Kluyveromyces lactis: one gene and its partner. The protein of the gene in region 2 purifies or fractionates together with the protein of the main gene of each other region. This does not show direct contact. Links are inferred from orthologs where the notes say so. Each region holds a gene or a part of one and is shown on either strand. Other genes may lie near its edges.

Region 1 (4,756 bases), on a different chromosome or scaffold from region 2:
CATTGTCGTTGAATTGTCTTTTTTTACCGTTTTTGGAGAAGAAGTCCTTCTTACGTTGCTTCTCCTTTTCTTTCTTCGATTCCTCCAACTTAGCAAGCTTCTTGAGTCTTTCCTTCCTTTCTTCAGCTTTCTTGGATCTCTTCTTTTCATCCTTCGCATTCGAAATGGTGAGAACCTTTTGCATGAAGGAACGTGCCTTTTTCTCTTCGCCGCCTAGAACGACAGCTCTCTTAGCCATGTATGTTTTCTTCTTTTGCGGTTTCATTTGATAGATCTGGGATTTGAAAGGTAAGTCTTTGGCAACAGATTTTGGTACCTTTAAACCGTTGAAGTTCCTTTCAACTCTTTCAACCTTCTTATATGTACTGTCATTGTTGGTCGGTAAATCGATTCCAAGAGATGCTCTAATTTGACCAGTTAGTCTCAAACCCTTCCATTCAGTTTTATCTTTTAGCAACAATGAAGTAACTGGGTTGTAGAATTTCTTAACTTGGATTGGATACCATGACCTAAGAATTATAATGTCACTCAATAGTATCTTATCCTCAAAAGTTGCCCTGAAATGGCCTTCTGGTTTTGATAGAGCACGCTTGATTTCACCACGAATACCGGAAACAGTCTTGATTTGGGCACCTTCGAACCGTGCAACTTCCATAGCGCTAGAGAACATATCCTTTATGAAGGCAGTGTTCTTGAAGATTTTGTAAGGATAACCAACAAGCTTTAATTTCTTCACAATTTCTACGCTTGCATCGATCTCCTCTACAATACCAGTCGCAGCTATTCTGAAACTTCCAGTTGTATCACTGTTAGCAACTATTTGAACACCACAGAAAGTGGTATTTGGCGAGCACAAGGGACCATAGAAAGAAGCTGTACAATAAGCATGTTCTGGAGTATACTTCAACATTCTAGTCCTGGTTCTAGAGTCACTAGTGGTGTATATTGGTAGAGTTTGGAAACGTCTCCAACCAAGAGATAAAACTAAAGGATCATTTGTCTTGAGAATCTTTTTGTGCCAACGATGTCTTCTGACTCTTGCATTAATAATTCCGAACTTCAATTCTGTGGGAAGAAGACCTCCCATAATTACTGGATACTTTGGGTTGAAATTTTCGATGAATTCCATAGGAACCTTATCGAAGACAATACGAACATAAGACCCAGCTTTCATACCTTCGATTTGTTGCCTTTGTTCAGGAGTCATAGATTCCAGTTCGGCTTTATTGATTTCTAATTGTTTAGCAATCTTAGCCTTCTGTAATTCGTACCAGGTATCGTATTCATTTTCAGGGTCTTCTCCAAAGTTGTCTCCTTCTTCCATTTCGAATTGTAACCTTAATTTCTCTTTTTTTGCGGCATTCAATTCACGCTCTTCATCCTGGGTCAAATCCTTCTTTTCTTCTTCTTCGAAATCAGCGAACGATTCGTTGCTATCAGATTCTTCATCTCCTGCAGCAGAATTCTCCTCCTTCTCATCTGTGTTTTCAGGCTCAGCTTCTAAGTCCTCAAAATCACCGTATACTTCATCTTCATCATCGTCTTCATCCTTTACATCATCAGAAGACTTGGTGTTTAAGGATGGCTTTCCAACAAATCTGTCTTTGATTGAATCGGCAGTTGACCATCTTTCAACAAGGTCATTGAATGTATCAAAATAAGGAATAAATCTTTCAAGATCATCGTGGTAAGTTACTGCCTTATTCGGTGTAGTATTTGTCTTTTGGGTGAAGAATTCAGTATCTTCATCGTCTTCTAGATCTTCTTCAACTTCAGTTTCGTCGGCCTCGCCGTTCCATCTTTTGATTGCATCAGCTGGAGCAATGTTGTCCATGTAGATAAGTTTGCTGATATCCCACTTTCTTCTTTTATTCTTTGTACCATTCAATTTACCAGCTGTGGTTCTTTCCCAACCTTCAGAATCAGATGCATCCAATTCTGAATCTGTCTCAAAGGCCATGTTTTCAGGTTTTTCGTCATCAAAATCAATTTCAACTAATTTAGTGCGATGTGCTTCATCTTCGTCATCATCTTCATTATAGTTTTCGTTGTCACTTGATAAATTATCGAGATCTGCGTTAGATTCCTGAAGGGATTTGCCGTATACTCTTGCCTTTCTTAAGGAAGATCTACCAACGTTTCCTCTATCAACATCATCCTCGTCTTCGGTGTCTTCTTCAACTTCTTCATCCTGATCTTCAATAGCATGTAACTCAGTACTATTTGAGAAAAGCTGCAATCCAACATTCTCGAATTTTTCATCAATGGAACGAGATGTAGCCTGTAGGTTGGACACGATCTTGTCACTTTCATCTTTTTCCTCTGCAGTCATTGAGTTTGGACCTGTCTTACCGCCAACATCAATGAACACGGCATCCTTATCCATAAGTAAACCACCAACGTCAGACATTGGAGCATAGATCAGCTTTTGTTTATCATCCAATCTTTTACGTCTTCTTACAGTCGTTGCTGATGTGGAACCTTCTTCCTTAGCACGTTCACGTTCAAATTCATCTAATTTCTGTTGGTAATAAGGTGTCGGACAAGGATCAGGCAATTTCTCAACGTGATCGATCTGGTAGTCACCTACACCGGCGATATGGACCCTGTAGCCTGGAGTCGAAGGTAACGGAGTACCGTGTAAATAACCATAGATGGCGACTTTACGATCTATATGCATACCCTTCGATTGTAAGAGTTCTGGATGAGTTAAATCGGATATTCTATCGGCCAATAAATAAGGATGTTCGTTTCTCCATTGCAAAGGTCTGAACTTCATAACACTTATAAACCTTGACAAGTTCAAAATCTCTCTATCTGGATAACGACCGTTAATAACACCAGAAAGGTAGAAAAGCTTGGCACCCTGATACACTTCGGTCCAGAACCTATGTTTCAAAGATTTCTTAGAGGCACGCAATGTTGACTGGGATTTGAAAAGATCCAAATGTGTAGCGACACCTAGTACACGAGGCATACCATGATGTTGAGCCAAATTCAAGAATTCCATGGTCTCCATTTCAAACCCGAAATTACCATCCATCATCAAAAGCACCAAATCGGCCACTTTTGAAATATCGATCATGGAATTCAAATCATCCGCAGGACATTCGATAAAAGTCAGCCTTCTACGCTTACCAGAAACAACAGTAATAGGACCGTTAATTTCGGATAAAGTGGTCTTTGTCAACCTTCTCACTAACGATTTGATCAAAGTAGTCTTACCGGTACCTGGAGGACCAACAACAGCAATAATGATCGGAGGAGGATCATCATCTGGGGTACGATCCACCATCGGAACATGCAACTTCTTCTCATTCTTATCACCCGTACGTTGCATCTGCTTAGCCATTTTCCCCGGAGCGGAGACAGCAAAGGCCTTAGCATTGTGGCCCTGAGAATGTAACTTCTTCTTGGCACCAGCCTTCTCCTTCCGCTTCCTATGTTCTTTATTCGATTGTTCCATTGCTGAAGCTTGAGAGTCTTAAGATGTATTCAGGCAATGTGATTCGAACTAACTGGCCTAAAGTGACCCTTTTGATTCAATTCAAGATACTAGAATCTTTTATGTTCACCGATGAGATGAGATGAGATGGTTGAGCTTCTTCATGCAATTTTTCATGCAGGGTAAGAAAAAGAAATGATCTGAACCTTGTCGATATCTAATCACGTGATTCTGCACGTGATCTGATTTTTAAGAATTTAAGGTATTCTGTCAGTTTTGTAGATATTCCTACATGTCTCTGCCGTAGTAACTAGGGCCCAAGGGCATATGGAAAAAAAAGCGTTCATCGAAATTCGAACATCAAAATGAAATCGAAATCCAATCAAATGCACAAACAGAACAGGATAGAACAAAGGTCAATGAATCAACGGTTGGATTCCGAATAAAAGTCGTTTGTTTCATTCGTTTCCCTAAAAGTTGTTGTGTTTTTTATCTTTAGTTCGTTTGTGTGGTGATTTGGATTTCACAACAAGAACTGTACGTTCTACACCAGTTATATTGTTGTGGATACGAGACAACATCTTTTGGTCATAGAAAACACATACTGTTCTTATTCTTTCCAATCTGTGTGCGTGTAATTTTTACTGAGTTGAAGCAGGAAAGCTAGGATAACAGAGTCTTCAGTGGTGTGTGTTTCCTTGTTGAGCTTTTTATTTTTTGGATAGAATACACAGTGTGAGCAATGGTTTTGTATAAAAGGAAAACGATAACGTTGCCAGATGCTAGGCCATTACCGTCAAATATCAATAGGAAAATATGGTACATTCAAGAGACAGGGGAATGGTTTTTGACTTATGCAGAGTTTTTGCAACGATTGGATTTTTATAGGCGACATTATTTCACCTGTGAGATCACTGGTACATCATGTTTAACTTTTTTTGAAGCGTTGAACAGTGAAGAAGAGCAGTTCCAATACGTTGAGAAAATGTTCCCTTTAAAATTACGTGAACCTGTTGCAAAATTCATCCATTTCAACGAGATTAGAAGGCTAGATATGCTCGTCGAACAGGTATATGCAAGATTTAAAAACGACTATTTCCCTGGAGAAACGGTATACCTACGGAAAAGTAAGCAAGATTCCTCACATGACGATGCTGAAAAACATCATCAGCACTCACATGGATCACAGCATCAAAAAATTTACATTATCAAAGAAAAGGCTCAGTTTAATGCAGTTATAGATAGAGATACAAGGCAAGAATTGGTTCCTGCCCATGCAAAATATATGTTACAGGAAGCACAAGGTAGTAC
Region 2 (5,862 bases):
TTTTACGCCTTCATAGGGCTTAAAGTTCTACAATTGTATTTTGATGTGAAAGCATTGAAGGACATCCGAAACTTTTACAACTACCTTTTAAGCATATCAGATAAAGATTTACAAACTATTCCATGGCAAAGTGTGATTCAACAACTAGTATTACTTAAGGATCAGAATGCGATCACAGCAAATGCTACCGAAGTCAAAGCAAAAAACAGGTTGAGTGCGCATGACGTGGCTAATCGAATTATGCGCAAAGAGAATTTTGTCATTGCACTATATGATAACAATATTCTTGACTTATCCCTACCAGTACCTCTACTAAGAACATGTGCTCTTACCAAGACGCTCGAATGGAACATAAATCTTTGTATTTTAGGTTTTGCATTCAATGAGAAGGGCTATTTAAAGCAAGCTTTCTTAAGAGAAAGCCAGAGAGAATACCTGGGAGAGGAGTTAAAGAAGAGGTTTGTTCTTGCTGGATTCTTGAACATTATCTTATCCCCATTCTTAGTAACATACTTTGTTCTATTGAACTTCTTCAGATATTTTAATGAGTACAAAACCTCCCCAGGATCAATAGGTTCTCGGCAATATACTCCTATTGCTGAATGGAAATTTAGGGAATACAATGAATTATATCATATTTTCCAAAAAAGAATGAGATTGAGCATGATAATAGCGGACAATTATGTCAATCAATTTCCCAATACATTATTAAGCTTGACCTTAAGCTTTATACAGTTTGTTTCCGGTTCTTTTGTGGCAATCTTGGGTATTCTGACAATATTTGATCCAGACAATTTCTTAAACTTCGAAATTACACCTGACAGAACTGTTTTATTTTACATGACTGTTTTTGGTACTTTATGGGCAGTTTGTCACAGTTCTATCAACGATGAGTATACGGTTCTCAAACCAGAGGAAACACTGGAGGAACTTGTGTCGTATACACACTACGCTCCAAAGGAATGGAAGGGGAAATATCATACAGAGGACATCAAAAATGAGTTTTGTAGGCTTTACAACTTGAGAATCACATTATTACTAAGGGAACTAGTCAGCATTATAATCACTCCCTTCATATTATGGTTCTCCCTGCCAAAGAATTCAGAAAGAATAATAGATTTTTTTAGAGAATGTACCGTCTATGAGGAGGGGTTGGGATACGTGTGTAAGTACGCAATGTTTGAAGCTACTAAAATTGACAAAGGTACCAAGGCCAAAAAACAAACTAAGAGAATGTTTTCCCAAGCAGAACAGGATGATAGTGAAACCGAATCGGATGAGGGTGTTAACAAAATGCTTCAGTCATATATGTACTTCGTTGACGATTACAAGAATGCAGGCAATGCAGTGGGCAAAAATCAGCTACCAGCTTCTCCAATCGAGCCATCTTATCACCCATACAGCTCTACTAAAGACTATTCCTGGAAGACACAATTTGCCTTAGGTAAAAACTCCAATCGTAAGAGAAATCTTAATCGATCAAGGGTGAAGAGATTCCCGGATCGTAGTTCGGACCTTGAATTAGGCTCATTGAGTGGTTCACTTATCAACAAATCTACCCTTTTTAAGGATGATATTGCTGATAATGCTGACGAACTGAAGGCGGGAAATGGTGTTATGGGCCTATTAAACCAATATTACAAAAAATCAGATCGCAATCGATGATAAAGTTTATTAATGTTGAGTATAGATTATATAATATGCAGTTAACGTTTGGTATTACGGAGCTTCTTTTCACGCTCATATTTGTTTTTCTCAGCACCTTCTTCAGTACTGATTTGATTGACAATACGTGCCATCTTGGAATGGTAATCGGCGTACTCCTTCTTCTTTTCTTCAATGCCTTGTCTTGCCTCGAATCTAGTGTCTTTACGTATTTCTTTCATAGTGAACTTACGTTCCTTCTTCAATTGCGCCTTCATCTTGTTCAACTCACTTCTGGTCTTATCTGGATCATACGACTTCTTATCTGGGTTGAAGTTCTCTTCGAATTTAGGCGTATTTGATGGAATCGCCAGTGGTTTATGCTGTTGCAACGTCAATGGCAGACGTTCTTGGAATTTCAATAGCTTTTCGATCTTTTCCACTAATTGTTTTGGTTTAGAAGTACCAGGATATACTTCGGCAGCCACGTTTAGTATGTCTTTGAAGGGATTAATGATTTCTGGGAAGGCAGTAAGATCTTTCCAGATGTTCGTTATGCACCAATCAATTGATTCTAGATTGTTGACCAGCACGGACAGTTTGATAGATTCTTGCTTTTCTAGATCCTCGGAAAATAATGAGTGTAATTCTAAAGAAGGGGCGACCTTGGACCAGTTAATATCCGAGCCTACTATTGATAAATTGTCCTCCTGTTTTTCTTTGTTTTCTAATGTTTCCCCTTTGGTACTCGGTATTAGAGAACGCAAAGATGTCTGCAAGAAGTATGTTAACTCAGGAATATAACGCTTGCTTATACGTTGATACTGGATGGCGATTCTAACCAGTATCGAACCAAATATTAATTTTTGAAGAGAATTGAACCTAATTTGTTCCAAAAACTCTGCAATTAGAAGCAGACAGGGAGTAATGACTAAATGATAGTGATCCGAAGTGGAGAACAACATACCAACAACAGAGAAAAATACCAAATCTGATGGAGATAGTCCATAGAACTGGGATTCTTTGAATCTAGTCTGAATATCTGAGATGATATTTCTACAATCCTCTGATAGTGGAATGGTAAACTTTTCTGAAAGAGTCTTTAGAATGCTTACTAGTTCGTTTTGTAATGATGCAATTTCTTTCACATTAACCGAGTAATCTTCTTCAGCCAAGAAAAGTATATGTCTGAGCAAAACAGCAGTGAATTTGCCCAATTTTTCTTTGTTTCCCTCAGCCAATTTTGGTTGGTATGTTTTTACTATTCTTTTAACTAAAGATGGATGCTCTTCGATAGGATAAGATTTCAAGAAATTTAGTAAGTCATCGTGAATTTGAGGACATGGAACAGAAGGTATAACTCTTGCTGAAGGTCTACCATTTGATGTAGCGTCGTATTCATTGTCATCATTGTTATCCTTCTCGAAATCAACGTCGTCATCCGAGTCAGGAATTGCTTTGATATATTCACCATATTCGCCCTCCTCAGAGTCGCTATCTTCCCAAAACTCTTCTCCCAAATCTTCAACACCAGCATCTTTTTGATCTTCAATGTTGAAAATACCGTTCATACGATCAAGCCTTTTCTGCTCCAATTCCTTTTGTTTGTCCTCATATTCTTTCTTAATCTCTTCATCTGTTTTAGTTCTATCTGCAGGGGCAGCTCTTTTCTCCAAGACTAACTCTTTCACCTTGATATCATAATCTGGAGCGATGTCTGTGGAGGTCGAAATCTCAGTTTGAGAAGGTTTAGTCTTTGGTAACGTCCTTAATTCAGACATAATGCTTTCGAAATCGTCATCAAGGCCTTCGATATCTTGGACCAATTTCTCCTGCGCCTTTTGTCTTTCATGTTTGTAAAATTTGGATTTAGCAATGACCTCTTGCATGACTTCTGCCTTAGTCTTCTTTCTTGCTGGCTCTTGCAAAGCGTCATCACCTAACCCTTCATCTCCGTATTGATCCGCCATATTTCTTTTACCAGCTTGTTTCAACCTGAAGTCCTCCGAATCAGAATGCTGTAACCCCAAATCACCTTCATCGAAATCATCTTCCAAGGAAAGAGACTTACCATAATGAGTCAACTTTTCACCGTACACGTTTTCATCCTCACCACCATCGCTATCGTCTAAATTGAATAACGATCTTTTCGTCGAAGATTGACGTTGTCTTTCCTTTGTGAAACGTTCCAACATGATCTCCTCGGAAGTCAAATTCTTATCCTTTTCACCAAAACGTTTATCTAAGACACCACCGCTTCTGTTCTTGCTGGACTTCTTGGCTTCGTAGAACATTTTACGTTGATCTTCACCGGCTTGTTTAGTGATTCCCGGCTTACCTACTGCAAGTTTAGCTGCAGATTCCCTCATCACACCAACCTTTTTATTACGATTTGTTTTCACATCAAACGGATTAAACTGTTCCCTAATTCTTTCAATAGTCTTCTGTCTTTCTTCTCTATCAAACTCCCTGGGAGATTTGCCCTTCTTCTTAGAACTCTTCTTGACATTGGTCTGACCAGTCAACCCATTAGCCTTTAAAGCGGCCTTCAAGTTCTTCAACTGTGAACCACCCATTATTATTCGACTTTGTAACCTATTTGCCCACAGACAAGAAGAATGGTCTAAACACAACTGATGATGCAAGTCAATTCAATACAATCGGCCAAGATACTGAACCTTCTGACAGCCTTTGATTTAATCCCATCTCATCTCATCTCATCGCTCAATTCATCTTCTGTCAAACTTTTAATGCTTTTTCACCGAAAAGAAAGAAAATAGTTACCCGCACAATAAAATCAAATCAAGGTTACCCGAATATCCAGCACAATCATTACGAACGATGATGAAGTCACGTTTTTCTAAGATTCGATTGTTACTGTTACTGAGGAAGCTTTTACCGTAGCTTGTCATTTTAAAGGCATTATGAGAAATAAAGGAAATCAGTTACAGGTGGCAAATATATACGAAATAACCGCGAACAGAGGTACAGCAGGTTACAGTGTCGGTTCTGAGACTGTAAGTTTGTGTGGTTTGAATACAGGACGGATACAGAGAAATTGATTGTATTGCATTTCGGTTTAAGTTGAGCAGGCAGAGCAAAGAGAAAAGAGTATAAATTATATCGTAAAATATGTCCAGAGACGCTCCAATTAAGGCAGAGAAAGATTATACCGAAATCTTGGACGCTGAATTTCCTAAGCTTGAGATTTTGGCCAAGAATGATTATTCCAGTGCTTTGGATCAATTGTTAGTGTTGGAAAAGAAGACTAGACAATCTTCTGATTTAGCATCTTCGAAAAGAGTCTTGACTAAGATCGTAGATGTTTTGGTCGCAGCAGACCAATGGGACCTACTTAACGACCAAATCATGCTTCTATCAAAAAAGCATGGTCAATTGAAGTTATCTGTGCAGTATATGATTCAGTCTGTGATGAAATATTTGGAAGACCTGAAGGATTTGGACACCAAGATTAAAACTATTGAGACGATAAGAACCGTGACTGAGAACAAGATTTTCGTGGAAGTTGAAAGAGCTAGAGTCACTAGAGATTTGGTTCATATCAGAAGATCTGAGAACAAGATCGATGAGGCCACTGACTTGTTATGTGAATTGCAAGTGGAAACGTATGGGTCCATGGAGATGTATGAAAAGATTGAATTTATCCTTGAACAAATGGAATTAAGTATCCTAAAAGGTGATTACTCTCAAGCCACTGTGTTGTCCAGAAAAATATTAAAGAAGACTTTCAAGAATGAAAAGTATGCAGCATTGAAATTAGAGTATTATAACCTTTTGGTAAAGATTGGCTTGCATAAGAAAGATTACTTAGAAGTGGCTCAGTACTACCAAGAAATCTACAACTCTGATTCTGTGAAGGCAGATGAAATTCAATGGAAGGCAGCTCTATCCAGGGTTGTATACTTCTTGATTCTATCGCCATATGATAACCTACAAAATGATCTCATTCACAAGGTTCAGTTGGACAACAATCTAAAGAAATTGCCATCCCAAGAATCCTTGGTAAAACTCTTCACCACAGCAGAACTAATGAGATGGCCAATAGTACAAGATACCTACAAAGAAATTTTGAACCAGGACGGCGTTGCATTCGGGTCTAATGAATCACACTGGGAAGATCTTCATAAGAGAATCATAGAGCACAACTTGCGTGTCATTTCCAAATACTATACAAAAATTACTTTGCCAAGGTTAAAG

The links. The genes of interacting proteins can lie anywhere in the genome.
Region 1: the proteins of NOP14 (region 2) and BMS1 purify together in Saccharomyces cerevisiae (affinity purification with mass spectrometry; 4 studies listed by BioGRID). This does not show direct contact. The link is inferred for Kluyveromyces lactis from reciprocal best matches to the Saccharomyces cerevisiae genes NOP14 and BMS1.

Annotation. Positions count from the first base shown.
Region 1 is NC_006038.1:179,531-184,286, forward strand, and holds the start of BMS1 (GTPase BMS1), read right to left. Parts: upstream 3,467-4,756; coding exon 1-3,466. Other genes in the region: KLLA0_B02090g (uncharacterized protein), read left to right, coding at 4,188-4,756. UniProt on the Saccharomyces cerevisiae protein: GTPase required for synthesis of 40S ribosomal subunits and for processing the 35S pre-rRNA at sites A0, A1, and A2.
Region 2 is NC_006039.1:1,426,109-1,431,970, reverse strand, and holds NOP14 (snoRNA-binding rRNA-processing protein NOP14), read right to left. Parts: upstream 4,221-5,862; coding exon 1,707-4,220; downstream 1-1,706. Other genes in the region: autophagy protein ATG9, read left to right, coding at 1-1,665; proteasome regulatory particle lid subunit RPN5, read left to right, coding at 4,777-5,862. UniProt on the Saccharomyces cerevisiae protein: Involved in nucleolar processing of pre-18S ribosomal RNA. Has a role in the nuclear export of 40S pre-ribosomal subunit to the cytoplasm.